Linked DNA regions of Oryctolagus cuniculus. The protein of the gene in region 4 interacts with the protein of the main gene of each other region in a pairwise test. Links are inferred from orthologs where the notes say so. Each region holds a gene or a part of one and is shown on either strand. Other genes may lie near its edges.

Region 1 (3,856 bases), on a different chromosome or scaffold from region 4:
TTTTTTTCACTCTAGACTCCTCAAAGTCAATTATAATAGATGAAGACTGTCATTGAAATAATTAAATTATTTTAATATTGTTTTCCTTATTAATGACTACATGTAGAAACCTGAACAAAACAAATATTCACCAAAAAAATGTTACTTACCCAGGTGGTAGGGGAGCTTGAGTTACAGTATTTAATGGCCTAGGGCCTGAGCCTCCAGATATGGTAAGAGGAATTATTAATCCAGATGTTGCTCCTTCAGATGTACTTGTATTTATATTTGTATTTGTGGGTGGCAGAGAGCTTGTACTTGATCCATCACTTTCAGAAGTAGCAGGTGGAGAACCATTGACAGATGCTATACAAGATTTGGGGAAAGTAGGAACACTCTTTTATTTTCCAAAATCTAAATTAATTATAGAATTTTATCTTCAAAACAATAAAAAGGTAGGGAAGGGCCGGCGCCACAGCTCACTAGCCTAATCCTCCACCTTGCGGCGCCGGCACACCAGGTTCTAGTCCCGGACGGGGCGCCGGATTCTTTTCCGGTTGCCCCTCTTCCAGGCCAGCTCTCTGCTGTGGCCAGGGAGTGCAGTGGAGGATGGCCCAAGTGCTTGGGCCCTGCACCCCATGGGAGACCAGGATAAGTACCTGGTTCCTGCCATCAGATCAGCATGATGCGCCGGCTGCAGCGCGCTGGCTGCGGCGGCCATTGGAGGGGGAACCAACGGCAAAGGAAGACATTTCTGTCTCTCTCTCTCACTGTCCACTATGCCTGTCAAAAAAAAAAAAAAAAAAAAAAAGTAGGGAAGTGAAAAAGTTTCCACTTAATAGATTTGTTCTCAATATCTTAGGTACCATTTACCCTGTGCTTCATTATTAATTACAAAGCACAGATTCTCTGGTGTCTTGATGTCACAAGAAATAAAAACTTTTAGTAATGGAAAAATATTAAAATTAAAATACCATATTCCATGGTATTTTAAGTTTACTTGTAATTTTCTATGTCCTTAAAAATACCTTTCGTATGAAATTCTGCAGATCAGAGACTAATTTTTGATGTTACTATATGAAAGATCTGACTGATATGCAATAATGTTAATATAAATAATTATTAAGCACTTGCTATATTTGCAATGTCTTTTTTTTTTTAACTTTTTTTTATTTTTTTTACAGGCAGAGTGGACAGTGAGAGAGACAGAGACAAAGGTCTTCCTTTGCTGTTGGTTCACCCTCCAATGGCCACCGCGGCTGGCGCACCGCACTGATCCGAAGGCAGGAGCCAGGTGCTTCTCCTGGTCTCCCATGGGGTGCAGGGCCCAAGCACTTGGGCCATCCTCCACTGCACTCCCTGGCCACAGCAGAGAGCTGGCCTGGAAGAGGGGCAACCGGGACAGAATCCGGCGCCCTGACAGGGACTAGAACCCGGTGTGCCGGCGCCGCTTGGCGGAGGATTGGCCTATTGAGCCGAGGTGCTGGCGCAATGTCTTTCAATGTGTTTGCTGACAAAACAATTTCTAAAGGAAGTCATCAGTATTCCAAATCTTAAAGAGCAGGAATACACAGTTAATACAATTATCTACATAAGGAGAAGGCATATGATTAACCATTAAATCATTTAATAAAATGATTTGAGGGCAATTAACTTTTGTAACAATATTTCATTTAATTACTCTGCATTTTTCTGGTCATGCATTGGTAAGGGAAATAATAAGATTAAATATTTGGGTTAATGAGAAAAATGGATATTCTATATGTAAGTGTCTAAACTGTTATTACATGAAACATACTTACTGTATAAGTTTTGCTTTAAAATCTGATTATCATTTAACACTGCTGAATTATCTGCCATGTAATGATTGTTTTTTTTTTTTTTTTTTTTTGATAGGCAGAGTGGACAGTGAGAGAGAGAGACAGAGAGAAAGGTCTTCCTTTGCCACTGGTTCACCCTCCAATGGCCGCCGCAGCCAGCGCACTGCAGCCGGCGCACTGCGCTGATCTGATGGCAGGAGCCAGGTACTTATCCTGGTCTCCCATGGGGTGCAGGGCCCAAGCACTTGGGCCATCCTCTACTGCACTCCCTGGCCAGAGCAGAGAGCTGGCCTGGAAGAGGGGCAACCGGGACAGAATCCGGCACCCCGTTCGGGACTAGAACCCGGGGTGCCGGCGCCACAAGGCGGAGGATTAGCCTAGTGAGCCGCGGCGCCGGCCATGATTGTCTTTTAAAAGGATATTAATGGGAATAAGGAACCAAATTCTCTGCTGTATGTCATGCTTACGTTACATATTTACAACCATGCAAAAAAAATTACATTCTTATCTATACAGTCTATACTTTATAGAACGTACACGTGATTTTTCTTCCTCAGCAACTTCACTCTGGGAAGAAAAATTTAGGGAAAAGGTTGTTCTTGGTTACCTACAGAAAAGATCATTCACGGACAAAATCTTAAAATGTAAAAATACAGCTAGAAAACTGACCTAGAAAGAACTTCTGAAATGTATCTGGGAATCAATTCCCAAATAGAACATTATATACAACATATACTGAAAGCTGGAATACAAACCTGGTCTACGTGGGGTGGGTGGAGGTGGTCGGGAAGGTCTTGGTGGCCTAGAAGGCTTAAAACCGCCATTTGAGAGTGATGGAGAATTATTCCCACTGACCCTCCTATTTTCACTGGACCCTGTATCCTCAGGGTCATCTGATCCATTTGTATTCACTCTGGATAAGAAGGAGAAAATAAATGCCTTTTGAATTTAAGAAAATAGTCAGCAGGAAGAGCAAAACTGAAAGTTTTACAAGTGTGAGAAAACATTCCTAATTTCAGAACAGTCTCATGAAACAAAGTTCCACTGGGTAAAGTCTAATACAACCAGACATAGAAGAGTTATTTGTGGGTACAGAAACACTTGGAACCATTCAGAACAACTAGGTGTGCTGATTCAGATTCTAAAAAATGTCTTAAGAGGAACAAAGTCGAGTTCTCAAAATCCCAATGTATTACAAAGGGTGCTACTTTATTTTAAGAACAGATAACTAGTCCATCATTGCTTCCTTGGTTTCCACTAGCTATTAATGTTATTTCACATTTGAGGCATGGCTGGCTAGAATAAAGACATATACTTATTTCTTAGGGATTGTGCACCTCTTAACACTCCAGTTCAATGGTATACAAAGTGTTTAAAAAGTTGGTGGTCAACTGTAGATGTGCCACAAATCTTCTAAAATTTTTATTTATTTATTAAGCAGAGACAGAGACAAAGACAGAGAAAGATCTTCAATGCTGTAGTTTACTCCCCAAGTGCCCACAACTTGGGCACGCTGGGGGCAGGAACCCTACTATTTAAGCAATCATCTGCTGCCTCCCAGGGTATACATCACAAAGCTGGAATCAGGAACAAAGCTGGGACTTCAACCCATGGACTCAAACCCAGGCATTCTGATATGAGAAGGAGAAGCTTCCGCCCCCACAGACTGTTTTAAACAGATGTCATCCCTTCCAAGGTATGATATCAACTGGAGAGAAAGGATGGAAGGACAGTAACAGGAATGTCAGACTACGAGCTACCACTGCTGTTACCACTTCTCCCAAAGGGATCTGCTCATGGATCAGAAACAGTATGCACTGCCAGTTTAGAGACGCCTCAGCAAAGGCTTCTCAACCTGCACCTTCAGAATAAGCCTCAACAAAATAAATCTAACTTTTTTTTTTTTTTTTGACAGGCAGAGTGGACAGTGAGAGAGAGAGACAGAGAAAGGTCTTCCTTTGCCATTGGTTCACCCTCCAATGGCCGCCACGGCCGGCGCACCGCGCTGATCCGATGACAGGAGCCAGGTGCTTCTCCTGGTCTCCCATGGGGTGCAG
Region 2 (3,856 bases), on a different chromosome or scaffold from region 4:
GCGGAGGATTAGCCTATTGAGCCGCGGTGCCAGCTTACCTGTTTTTTCTTATTAACATGATTATTTAATTTCAAATATGTTGCACTGACTTCTCACTATGAAAGATGGAGCTGCAAGTCTTGTTCCTGCACGTTTACATACTCTAATAAAACACCCTCATTCCAGCTGTTCCAAATATACACATGTTGTATCTTTCCTTATAGTTGTTGCTGTCTCTATATAAACCTTCCTGACAATTGAGTCTTGGGACATGACTTCTAAAAAAAAAAAAATTAAAAACCCTGAGCTAGAGCAATTGTGTCTCTCACCCCTCTGCTTATTTTTTTTACATATCTGTCATTAACTTAACCAGAAATACTTTTCCATCATAAAAATGTCCTTTTGAAATGCTCAAGCTCTTTAGGATGTCCATCCAACTACACCTGCCTTCTGATCATCGTCCAGTCTAGACTGGGTGTGAAGCCTATCGCTGTCTGGGACTTGCCTTTCCCATCATGCTCCAATTCCTTTCTTGCCTCTCCTAGCAATCCTGTGTGTTCTTGATCCCACATCTTCCATTTGACTGTCTATTTTTGAAGTAACAGGAATCCCTTCCTAAGAAAGATGACATGGTAAGTGAATTTTTGGAAATCCAGGATGTATGAAAATGTATTTTTTCTATGCACACATTCAACAGCATGGCTAGGTAAACTTTAGGCTGGATACATTTTCCCTCAGCATTGAAGGCACTGGCCCACTGTATTCTAGTTTCTACTGTTGATTCTGACAAGTCTGATGCCAGTCTGATTAGAGTGAAGCCTACTTTCTTTTTTCTTTTAGTCTCTAGAATTTTAAAGACTTTTTCTTTGGTCAGAATATACTAATATTTTCAAAATAAATTTTCTTAAAAATAAGTCTATTTTCACTTAGTACCTAGAATTTTGGTGAGCCTTTCAATAAAATTCCTTATGTTTGTGAACAATTTTTTGCCTTTATTTTAAAAAAGATTTTATTTATTTGAAAAGTAGAGTTACAGAAAAAGAAGCACAAAAAGAGACAGAAAGATAGATGAGAGAGAGAGAGAGAGAGAGAGAGAGAGAGAGAGAGAGAAAGAGAGAATCTTCATCCACTTGTTCACTCCTCAAATGGCTGCAACAGCCAGAGTAGGGCCAGGCTGAAGTCAGAACCAGGAGCCAAGAACTTTTTCCAGGTCTCCCACAATGGATGGCAAGGGGTCCAAATACTTCAGTCATTCTCTATTTAGAGTTTTCCAGGTGTACTACCATGGAGCTGCCCTCAGAAGTAGAGCACCCAGGACATCAACCAGTGCCTACATGGGATGCCAGAGTCATAGGCAGCAGCTTTATCCACTATACCACAATGCTAACCCCTAGAAATTTTCTTATTAAATGTTCAGAACTGGTCTCTCAGCTTTTTACATCACTTCTACTTTATAATTTTATCATTTTGCTCTACTTTCTAGCAAATTATTTGCTTCTACCAGCCAAGTTTTGTACTGTATTAAATTTCAAAAGATTTTCCAGTTCTTTTAGCATTCTTTTTTTTATAGCACCTGATTCCAGCTGTTGGGGCCACCTGGGGAGTGAACCAGTGGATGGAAGACCTCTCTCTCTGCCTTTCCTTCCCTCTCTGTGTAACTCTTTCAAATAAAAAAAAAAAATCTTAAAAAAAAAATCAATCAACTTTTTAAAAAAAGATTTATTTACTTATTTGAAAGAGTTACACACGCACACATACACAGACACAGAGAGAGAGAAGAGAGAGAGAGGTCTTCCTTCTGCTGGTTCACTCCCCAGATGGCCTCAATGGCTGGAACTGTGCTGATCCAAAGCCAGGAGCCAGGAGCTTCCTCTGGGTCTCCCATGCAGGAACAGCGGCCCAAAGACTTGGGCCATCCTCCACTGCTTTCCCAGGACTTAGCAGAGAGCTGCCTCGGAAGTGGAGCAGCCAGGACTCGAACCTGTGCCCATATGGGATGCTGGCACTGCAGGCTTTACCTGCTATGCCACAGCACCGGCCCCATGAACAGTCTATAAGATTACCAGACAGCAAAGAAAAATTAAGTTTGTTAATAGACCTAGTCGGCAAGGATATGTGACTTTCTCAAGGATTCAGTACTATAATACTGAGGAAGATGACAGCTACTTATTCTCAAGTGTGAGGTCTGGAGAGTAGACCATAAAGGAAGCTAGAAAATTGACATTATTATATGAGATGTCACACTCACCCTTACCAAAGTAAACCTAAAATCAAACTGATAGAATCTTGCAAATCAAAATCAGGTTTTTTCCCCTTCATACTAGTCACAGTTCAACTAGACGAGCAACAATCCATAGTTTCAAAAAGTATGTGCCTTGTAGCTAATAAACTAATACTGCAAATCAAATTAAAAGCCAGACTTCAAGTTTCTCAACAATGAAAACATTTTACATACATATTCAATAGTTATATATTGTCAAAAAGTTGCTACATAAAGGCAAGTCAAACAACCAAAAACATCCTTAACATACCCTGATGGCAAAGTTTCTGTGTTGGCATTTCCAGACTGTTGCCGTACAGATTCCGCACACCCCTCTGGCTGCCTTAATTTGTCAAAAGCAGAACTACTTGCAGAATTAGAATGATCAGCATCTAGTATGCTTCTAGCTTCAGATCCCAACTGTGCACTGGTAGAAGGTATACATTCATTGTTTTCTGAGGAAGTGGGTATCTCTTGAACGAGAGGGTCTTCAACAGTAGTGCTAGTGCAGTCTGAAGACAAGGTGGTTTCTTCAGGTACTACTGGAGTGCCAATGGCAGAAGCATGGTCAGTTGGCGCAGATGAGGATGATTCTCCATTAACTGAGAAGGGAAAGTTAAGATAATCTGTCAAGTAATAGCAAGGCAACCAATTTCCTAATCAATCAATACATTTATTCAGAGTCTAATCCAAACTGAACAACGTACGTACCAGGTAATGAAAACATAAGATCAAGGTTATATTTTCATTGTTCACATGTAATATATAAATGATAAAATTTTACGTTTACATACTATACCTTAAGGAAAGAGAAACCACCATTACAATAACAAGTGCTTTCCCTCCAAATGATCAGTTCTGAGAGAAAGCCTGCATGCACTATATAAAAACTGTAAAATGATCCCTTACAATCTTCTGTCTCATATGCAAGTGGTAAGCTAGTACCAACACTTTTGCCAATAATGAAAAATATATGATGGCTTTAATTATGATAGTACTATAGAGAACCATAAAAAGATTCAGGAATCCATTCTATACTTTCTAAAGAAATAATTTAGCACTAAGACCTAGTGATATAGTTTTCTTACTTCATATTTCAATGAGATTAATTGACTTCAACTATGTGTTACTATGAAAGTAAGTAAAAATAAAATTGCAAGAAGAGATCATTGAACAAAACCTATTAGAAAAGTACCATCAAGGGGCCAGAGCTGTGGGGTAGTGGGTAAAGCTGCGGCCTGCAGTGCTGGCATCCCTTATGGGTGCCGGCTTGAGTCCTGGCTGCCCTACTTCTGATCCAGTTCTCTGCTATGGCATGAGAAAGCAGTAGAAGATGGCTCAAGTCTTTGGGCTCCTGCTTCTTCCAGGAAGAAGCTCCTGGCTCCTGGCTTCAGATCGGCACAGCTCTGACCATTGCAGCCATCTGGGGAGTAAACCAGCAGATGGAAGACCTACCCACCTCTCTCTGCCTCTGCCTGTCTCTAGCTCTGCCTTTCAAATAAAAAAAATCTTAAAAAAAAAAAAAAAAGGAAAGTACCATCAAAGTTCCAATGAAAATAGCAGAGGAAGACATAGACTAATGAAATCTCCAGGTAAATTTTCAAAGAAATAAAAATA
Region 3 (3,856 bases), on a different chromosome or scaffold from region 4:
GCCCTGGTGCCTCAGGAGGAAGTGAAGCCTGGGGTCAGAGGGTGACAGTGCCATGGCCCCAGGGCTCAGCCACTGCCCACTGACACTGCTGCGCTGATGGGTAACGTATAGAAGCAAGGTCACACTGGTTCCTAAGAGAGCCCCTGCCCTGAGCCCCTGCCCTGAGCCCCCCAGCCTCCTCAGGACCCGATATGCAAAGTGTTAACACCCGGCCCAGCAGGGACTCCAGGACCCAGCTTCACCCAGCGCCCATCTGGACCAGCCTTGGGGATTAGATGTTTGTCACCCCACACCCACCGTGGCAATGAATCTGAACGAGGGAAGCCGCGGGCTGGCAGCCGGGGCGGCGGCGACGCCTGAGCTCACCTGGCGATGCCTCCGTAGTCCAGGCCCTCCTCGCCACGCATGATGATGTAGAGCCGGCGGCGCAGGTCGTAGGGCTTCATGTTCATGATCTGGGGAGACAGAGCATCGTGGCCCGCCTGCCACTCACCCTTCCACGGCAGGAAGGGGTAGGAGGGATCTCAGGCCCGCCCCCTCCACAGACACGGCCCCCAGGCTCATGGTCATAACCTGGGCACCGGGCTGATTCTCTAACCTGCTGGAAAGAATCCTCAAAAAGGGTCTGCCTGGAGACGCTGATCTTCACGTGGCTGGGCAGGGCATTGGACTGGGAAGAGAAGAGAACGCCGCACACTGAGGCCTCCGGGTGACCGGCCTACCTGGTGCGCACCTGCCAGGGTAGGCGGCCCGGCCCCGAGGCTGTCACGTGAGAGCCTGGCCCCGTGGGGACAACCAGCTGTGGTGGCACACGCGCAGTCCTGTGCCCACGCTGGGCTGGGGAAGGAGGCTGAAGTGACTCGATGCCCCCACCTGCCGCGGGAGTCCCGGGAGCACAACTCACGTGGCAGAGGAAGCGGAACTGGTGATACTTCCACCGGAAGCTTCGGTCGTAGGCACCAGGGGAGCCTTGCTTCGTCCTGGAAAGGAAAGGTGTTCCGGAAGCCAGGTGAGCTCTCGGGAACTGAGCGACCTGTCTCCATTAGCCCAGCAAAGCTGATGCCGTGTTAACTTAAAGGCGAGGAGTAAGGAATAGGAGAGAAGGGACTGCCAGTGAGGCCTCTGAAAAGCCAAAAAACAGAATCCAGAAACGACGACAGAGTCCTGCTCTGACAAACACCAGGCAGCCAAAGGCGGGGAGAGCCCTTGCTGCCCGCGGCCTTCAGCTTGCCATCAGCACTGGCCGCTAGGGGGCAGTAAGCAGCAGAGCACGTCTAGGGGTCCCCACTCCGTCCAGCAGTGGGCCTCCCGGAGCCCGCGTTGACGGGACACTGCTGGGCGTCCTGACATCCTTACCCCGACTCAAACCCTGGCCGAGGATCCTTAAAGGTGGTGGTGCGGGTGTTGTGGTCCACGAAGTACCGCACGCCCTCGCTGGTATACTTCATCTCCCAGCCCGGCGGCAGTGCCGGCTCCTGGATCATCCTGCAAACAGGAGGGACGGGGTGAAGGCCAGGCCCCGCATTCCGGGCCCCAGTGCACAGGAGGCCGGGGTCTCCCAAGTGCTGCTTTGTCTCTGCTTTCACCCAGTGCTACACAGCCCTTGGGGGTACAAGGGGGATTTAGGATATGCACTTGGCATGATCCAAGTCATGGGTGTAAAGAAGCCATCTTCTATCCCAAGGCCAAAAATCCAGCCCCGGGTGGACGGCGGTGGCTGAGTGCCCAGGCCCTGCACGTTGGCAGTGCTGGATGGACGTACCCACAACCTCTTTGTGATCAAGTTCTCAGCAGCCAGTACCAGCGGCATACAGACCAGCGACAACCGCCAGCGGAAAGGTCTACTTCAGGGACCACTTCCAAGCTCTCAGAGGCTGACACTAGATGGGGAGATGTGTGTGGCTAAAGGTCCCCAGCAGGAGCCCTGCAGGACAAAGTGGTCCAAGGCCACTTGGCCAATGCTGGAGCTGCACACAGGCCCAGCCCAGCCCCCTTCACTCCCAAAACCCTTACCCCTGGGTCCGAGGGTCTTCCCACTGGGTCGTGCGTGTATTATGGTTCACGTAATACACCCGGCCATTGTCCTGTCTCTTCTCTGCCATGGGAGAAGAAAAGAGAGGGAACAATTAAAATCCAGCAGCTTGAGCTGGGGCCATCCCGCAGCCCCGGCTCCTGGGTGCTGCGTCTGCTTTCCTGTCCGACACCAGCCTGCTGGAGAAGCGGACCCGGCCACTGGGAGACAGCACAGAATGGTCCTTCCCTGGTTGGGGTTGGGGCAGGGGCACGGACACACACACTGCAAGGGGAAGAATCCCGCACCTCTCTGGTTGTTTGCTTTGTCAGAGGAAGGGGGGCGGTGTGGCGACACAGAGGGGGCAGCCGGCTGAATCCAGGCATAATTGCATCCAGCTGTGGCAGCAGGGACGCCCTCAGCCCCAGGCCCTGCCCCACCCCGAGGCTGGCGCAGGCGGGTAATCCATCCACTCCAGGCAAGTGGGAGAGAAAACGAGGGGCCAAGGCCCCAGACCCAAAGGTGGTCACCTTTCCAGGAAAGTCCTGGGTTTCAAATCTGTTTCCATCCTGAAAACAAGGGATGTGGATGGTTCTGCCCCTTTCACAGTGAAACGCGAGGGAAGAAGTCGGACAATCCTCCCTCCCCAGAAGCTAAGGGGCACACGCGGGGGACCAGCAGCCCCCACTCAAGAATCGGGCTGCAATGGTCCCAGCGCCAAGCCAAGGGCTGATCCCTCTTTGCCTTATCTGCTCTCTCCTACTCAACTAGAATGTCCCAAGCACAAGCACTATTTATCAATCACACTCTAATAAAGCTGGAAAAACAAGTAACATAAAAATAAAAACAGGCAAGGAAGCACAGGAGGTGCAGGGAGCTGCGGCAGAGCTGCCGAGGCGGCGTGCAACTGACCTGCAGGGGAAGCTGCCCGAGAGGGTCCTGCCCGCCCGGGAGCCCCTGCTCCGAACTGTACGCCCTAGGGCCGCTCTGCTGAGGACTGAGTGGAGCCTAGCGGGGGTCTGGCCCGGCTGTCCAAGCCCTGGGCCGTTTTCCTGGCACTGCACAAATGCTGCCATGACACCTCTCCTGGCCCACAGAGCTGCCTGCGGGAGCTGGGGCAGTCTCCAGAGAGTGCCGAGCTCAACCTCACTTTCAGGAGCAGGCGGGCCGGGGCGGATTTAGCCACGAGCGAGCAGCAGCAGACGGATCTAAACCTGAGGCATCCCAGCTCCCACGGCAGTGCCTGGGACAACCATGGGTCCCAGGAGCTGAGTGCCGGAGGAACGCCGGCAGACCGACAGCATGCTCGCCACCAGTGCCGGCTCCTTTGGCCCCGCTGCCCTTCCTGCTCGTCCTTTCCCATCCCTGGGGAGGCGGCCTCCCCCACAGCCCTGGGGAAGCAACACAGAGGAAAGCCCCCGGCCTTTGGGCAAAGAGTTCTGTTTCCCGGCTGTGCACCAGTACAGTCTTATGGGTCTTTTCCGATCGCTGGCAAACAGCAGTGATTCGGCTTATGGCTTCCCTATTCTCATCTCAAATATTTTCCCTCTGAGCATCTGGGAGTTGTTTTCCAGACTCTTTAGTGGCTCTCACTTGGTGACCATCGTTCAGAACTGGCACCGAAATAAACTCACTTGACCGGGCTACACTACCTGCTTCTACAGAATCAGAAACAAACTCCAGTCCCCCAGTTTTAGGTCACCGACTACCAAATGGCATAACGGATTCTTGTTTAACCCGGCACGCTTTCCCCATGGCTGGTTTAGGTAGCGATCCCAAGTGTTTACCCTTTTACATCTGACTTACTACTAATCTCCAAGGTACCTACGGGCTCTTGTGGGCCCG
Region 4 (4,651 bases):
TCACAGAGCACAGAGCGGGGCCAAGGACACAATGCCAGAGTTCCCCTTGCCCACCACTGCTCAAACCCATCACCCACAGTGAGGTGTAACAAAATGGCTGTTTTTGCTGGTTAGCTTAGGGGTGGTCTGTGAACTTGGGGTGACTGTTCCATCGCAGCAGATAATCAGAACAGCTGTCCAACCTCCCCAGAAATCAGAAAACCCAGACAACTGCTGTTCTGACCCACCATACGGACAGGTATTCAGCCTCCTGAAGAGGTCTTCCCTGTGCCACCATGGCGTGGGCGAACGCTGGCCCTGGGGCCGTGTGGCAGCCGAGAGCCTTACACACCACGGCTGACAGCAGTCAAAAAGCCCACCACCCCGCTTGCACCCAGCCCCAGGATTTGGTCAAGGGAGCCCAGGGGCACCTGACCAGAAAAGCAGCCAGCACCTGGCCAGCAGACCCTCAGTCAGGCCCAAGGGGCCCAGGCTCTGTGACCCTCCCAACACCCTACAGAGGACCCACTGGAGCAAGCAGCCCCTGGCCACTGTGCAAAGGGAGCCCACCCCAGGTGACCCACCCACTCCTCAGCAGGTGGGTCACCATGGGGGCACAGGGCATACCGACAGCACACCTCAGCAGCACCCGGGAGCCAGGCAGAATTCCCAAGAGCCAGTTTTTACTGGTCCAGGCCAACAACAACCAGGCTCTGCCTTCTCAAACCATGGGCTCTGGCAGGGTCACAGGATGTACTTATGCCCAAAGGAGAGCGAGGGAGGTGCCCCCGGGCAGAGAACAGGGGTCTCTCCCTCATGCTCTCCCACCTCGCAGATTGCTCCGTGATGGCGGCACAGACCGGAGAGAAGTGACCAAGCGACTTTGGTGGTCACTTCACCAAGACCTCAACTTCCTCCACCAGAGCTGCTTTTTGGGAGTCACCGTGTCAGGTGTTGGCTCCCGGGGCAGGCTTGGTGCTCACACCAGCGCACGCCCGGCTGTGTTCTGCCCGCACAGGTGTCAGGCTGCAGAGCCAAGCCCGTGGACCCAGCCCATGCCGTGCACAACCGACAGGCATCGGTTGTTGGGGGCTTGGGGCTGCTCTGCTTCTCCAGACAAAACCCTGATGGGGGTTGTGTCCCACAGTGCTTCTAGGACTCTCCTCACACACCAGTGCTTCCTGTTGTCTAGCAGCCTTATCCCTCGCACCTCCCACATTCGTCATCCAGGTCCCTAAGGCCAGGCACCGGTGCCACTCTGCCGGCTCCCACAAGCCAGGGGCAGCCCCGCCTGGCAGCTCCCACCCTGTGGGGGCAGCCCTGTCTGAGCATACTGTGGCCCCCGGGGCTGCCTCCTCTGTGTCCCACCTTCAGACCTGTTCCAGGACAGCAGTGACAGTGCCCACCTCCCAGGGTGCCCTGGGGCATTGACGGAGCTGGTGCTGGGAGAGCGCGTCGGGCCCATGACAGCTCCGAGGCTGCTGTCCTCAGTGTTGCCCCAGCCAGCGCAGCCCTGCCTGACCCCAGCCCTGGGCTGGAGAGGACCTAGGCTGTCTCCATAACTCAGGGCAGCCAGTGTCCCTGTGGCTAGATACCAACCATCCCTACTGCTCAGGGACATGCACCTGTGAGAGACAGGGAGCCCAGGGCAGGCTTGCCGCTTCACTGGCTACTAGCAGAGCCCAACAACAATCTCTTGAATGAGAAAAAAAGCACCAAGGTACTTCCTCTCTGTCCCAGGCAGGGCTGGAGAAAGTCCGTGTGCATTCATCAACACTCACACCCCAAGCCACCGGCACCCCCTGCCCCAAGGCCCTCCTGCTCCCAGACCATGAACCCACCCTGCCTCCCCCACTCAGAACCAGGGCCATCTCAGGACCACCCGCTGGGGCTGCTTCACCACTCCCACCTGCCAGGCAGAGGCCAGTCAGGCACAGCTCAGGTGACAACAGATGAGCCAGGTAGCCAGCTCTGCGGCATCCCTGGCCATGTGGACGGGGCCTGGGTCTCTCCCACCCCTGCTTGGGTCCCAGGGGAGTGCACCCCATCTCTGCCGTGTGCCCTGTCATAGCCACACCTACGACCACCCCAACTCCCAAGTGGGGACACAGGGGTCATCACCAAGAGGCCTAGCAAGGCTGGGGCCTGGGGTCGGGGGTCCTGAAAGGGGCCATCAGCTCTCCACCTTCAACAGGCACCAGAGGTGGGGTGGTCACGCCCCAAAGAGGAGTTGCGGTCTTGGCCAAGCAGACCAGGGGGACTGAAGCCAAGGTGGAGAGACACTGTCCCACCCACACACCCGGCCAGGGCCCAGGCCTGCCCAACATGCCCTGGAGGTCCAAAACACCAAGTCCCACCTCTGTGCCAGCCCTGTCCACCACAGGCAGCCACACCTCCACAGGCAGATGACGGCCTGAGCCTGCCATGGCGGCGCAGCAACCTGATCGCTTGCTGTCTGCATCACCGGCGCAGGCTCGGCTCCCAGGTGCTCACTGGGCAGGGCAAGAGATGGCCAGGAAGCCTTAGGCAGGGAGCAAGCAGCTGTCCCCAGGGGGACCTGCACCTTCCCACGGGCCAGGAGCCCGGGGCGGGGGCTGGAAAGGGGCCCGGCGCAAATCAGGTTCAGATGAGCGCCCGGCAGGTGCGCGCACGGAGAAGCCTGGACACCTGGCCAGGAAAGGTCGGAGGCCTCCGTGTGTCCACAGTCAGCGTGGCCTCAGCAGGGTGGACAGGCGCTAGGCCCCCCGCCGCGGGCTCGGCCCGCCCTAGGCGGCGAGGGCAGGAAGAGGCAGATGCGGAAGGACTCGGCCGCCCCGCCGCGCTGGGTCTACAGCCCCCCTCGGCTTACCGGCCGCTGGAGGGTCCAGGTGCCCCGCCCCGCAGCCCAGGCCCTGCGCCCCGCGGGACCCCGCCGCCTCTCCGCCCGACCCCCTCCCGCCGCAGGTGCGGCCCTCCCCGGGGAGCCCGCGCCCACCTCGGAAGGGCAGCGGCGCCGCCAGGCGCACCCGCACGGTCCCGGTCAGCGGTTCCCCCGGGCCGTAGACGGCTCGGCCGTGGCTCAGGCAGATCTCGAAGAGCTGCACCCGCCCCATGCCGCGGCCCCGCGCGCCGCTCACTGACGCCCGCAGCCCGGGCCCGCAGACCCGCCCGGCCCCGGCCCTGGCCCGCCCCCGGCCCGCCCCTTCCCCCCATCCGCACCCCCCACCCCGCCCCGGCCCCCCGGGGACCGAGGCGCGGGCGCCCCCTGCTGCCCCGGGGGGCCGGGGCGGCTCACCTGCCAGGCCGGGCGGGGCCGTAGGCCGGGCCGGGGAGCGCCCCCTCCCCAGCTCTCTGCACCGGAAGGGACCTCGGCTGGGAACGCCTTCCCCCACACCCACCCCCGGCGCTCAGATGTGGGCGGGCTCCGCCCTGTCTGGGGTCCCCCACCCGGCTCCACCACACGGAAGGACGTCACGAGGGGCCCCGCACCGCCCCGGGTCCCGGGGTGCGGCTGTCTGGGCGGAGGCCGGGCCAGAGATGCGGGCGGGCAGGCCGGGAGCGAAGTCTCCGTCTCCAGATGCCCTTACAGGTCCCTTAGTGGAGAGGCCCAAGCGCAGACCCGAAGCCTCTTTCGCGGTCCCGCAGTGCCCGGGACCCCTCGGGCGGCCAGCGAGGTCAGTGTCTCCGGCTCGCTCCCCACCAGGCTGTTTTCCACTCAGTCCGCGCTGTGCCGAGGTGCACCTGCCGGCGAGTACTGGCCCCAGAGACGTCTCAGTGCCGGAACCCTTGGTGAAGGGAGCGGCATTTGTTTGTTTACTTGAAAGGCAGTGACAGAGACAACTTCCATCCAGTCCACTCCCCAGATGCCTACAGCTGCCCGGGCTGGGCCAGGCTGAAGCCAGGAGTCTGGACCGCATCTGGGTCTCCCTTGTGGGCGGCAGGGCCAAAGCGCCTGGGCCATCTGCTGCTGCTTCCCAGGCGCATTAGCCCGAAGCTGGATTGGAGGTGGAGGTGGGACTCCGGTCCCAAGCACTCTGATAGATACGGAATGCAGGCATTCCAAGCAGAGGCCTAACCCCGGCTGCAGAAGACTAGCCCCAGTCCACAGGGACTCGAGGGACCAGGGACTGCCTTGCTGGGGTTTGCAGATGGTCACAGGAGTTGGGGCTCGGTGACCACCAAGGTCAGCAGGTGAAACAGAAATCTAATCAGGTGCTCTCCAGCCAAAGGTGGAGACCTCGGGCTGGGGACAGGAGGGCTCCAGGGAGTTCTGGGGACCAGCAGGACACTGCTGCAAGAGGTGCACCCCTGGTACCCCTGGCTCCCCTGGCACCCTCAGGTCTCTCACGTCCCAGGAGGGAGGGCCTAAGTGACCTGCTCGAGACAATTTGCTGCCAAGACTGTGGTCAGGGACCCCTGAGTGGGCAGTCCCATAATGCCCAGCGTCTGAGTGGGAGGGAAGGGCATTGGGCACAATGGTTATGCTGCCACTTGGGACTCCCGCATCCCCTACTGGAGCGCGTGGATCAAGTCCCAGCTACTCCACTTCCTGCTAATGCATCCCAGGAGACAGCAGATGATGGTGCAAGAACTTGGGCCTCCCGGCGCCGCGGCTCACTAGGCTAATCCTCCACCTAGTGGAGCCGGCACACCGGGTTCTAGTCCCGGTCGGGGCGCTGGATTCTGTCCCGGT

The links.
Region 1: the proteins of ARRDC1 (region 4) and ITCH interact in binary tests that used the Homo sapiens proteins (3 or more experiments, as listed by UniProt). The link is inferred for Oryctolagus cuniculus from reciprocal best matches to the Homo sapiens genes ARRDC1 and ITCH.
Region 2: the proteins of ARRDC1 (region 4) and WWP1 interact in binary tests that used the Homo sapiens proteins (3 or more experiments, as listed by UniProt). The link is inferred for Oryctolagus cuniculus from reciprocal best matches to the Homo sapiens genes ARRDC1 and WWP1.
Region 3: the proteins of ARRDC1 (region 4) and WWP2 interact in binary tests that used the Homo sapiens proteins (3 or more experiments, as listed by UniProt). The link is inferred for Oryctolagus cuniculus from reciprocal best matches to the Homo sapiens genes ARRDC1 and WWP2.

What each region holds. Positions count from the first base shown.
Region 1 is NC_091442.1:23,653,010-23,656,865, forward strand, and holds part of ITCH (E3 ubiquitin-protein ligase Itchy homolog), read right to left. Parts: intron 2,713-3,856; coding exon 2,555-2,712; intron 346-2,554; coding exon 150-345; intron 1-149. UniProt on the Homo sapiens protein: Acts as an Acts as an E3 ubiquitin-protein ligase which accepts ubiquitin from an E2 ubiquitin-conjugating enzyme in the form of a thioester and then directly transfers the ubiquitin to targeted substrates.
Region 2 is NC_091437.1:111,703,365-111,707,220, reverse strand, and holds part of WWP1 (NEDD4-like E3 ubiquitin-protein ligase WWP1), read right to left. Parts: intron 2,842-3,856; coding exon 2,511-2,841; intron 1-2,510. UniProt on the Homo sapiens protein: E3 ubiquitin-protein ligase which accepts ubiquitin from an E2 ubiquitin-conjugating enzyme in the form of a thioester and then directly transfers the ubiquitin to targeted substrates.
Region 3 is NC_091449.1:53,024,602-53,028,457, reverse strand, and holds part of WWP2 (NEDD4-like E3 ubiquitin-protein ligase WWP2), read right to left. Parts: intron 2,096-3,856; coding exon 2,014-2,095; intron 1,486-2,013; coding exon 1,357-1,485; intron 981-1,356; coding exon 905-980; intron 671-904; coding exon 599-670; intron 456-598; coding exon 367-455; intron 1-366. UniProt on the Homo sapiens protein: E3 ubiquitin-protein ligase which accepts ubiquitin from an E2 ubiquitin-conjugating enzyme in the form of a thioester and then directly transfers the ubiquitin to targeted substrates.
Region 4 is NC_091432.1:237,733,913-237,738,563, reverse strand, and holds the start of ARRDC1 (arrestin domain-containing protein 1), read right to left. Parts: upstream 3,148-4,651; 5' UTR 3,072-3,147; coding exon 2,954-3,071; intron 1-2,953. UniProt on the Homo sapiens protein: Functions as an adapter recruiting ubiquitin-protein ligases to their specific substrates. Through an ubiquitination-dependent mechanism plays for instance a role in the incorporation of SLC11A2 into extracellular vesicles.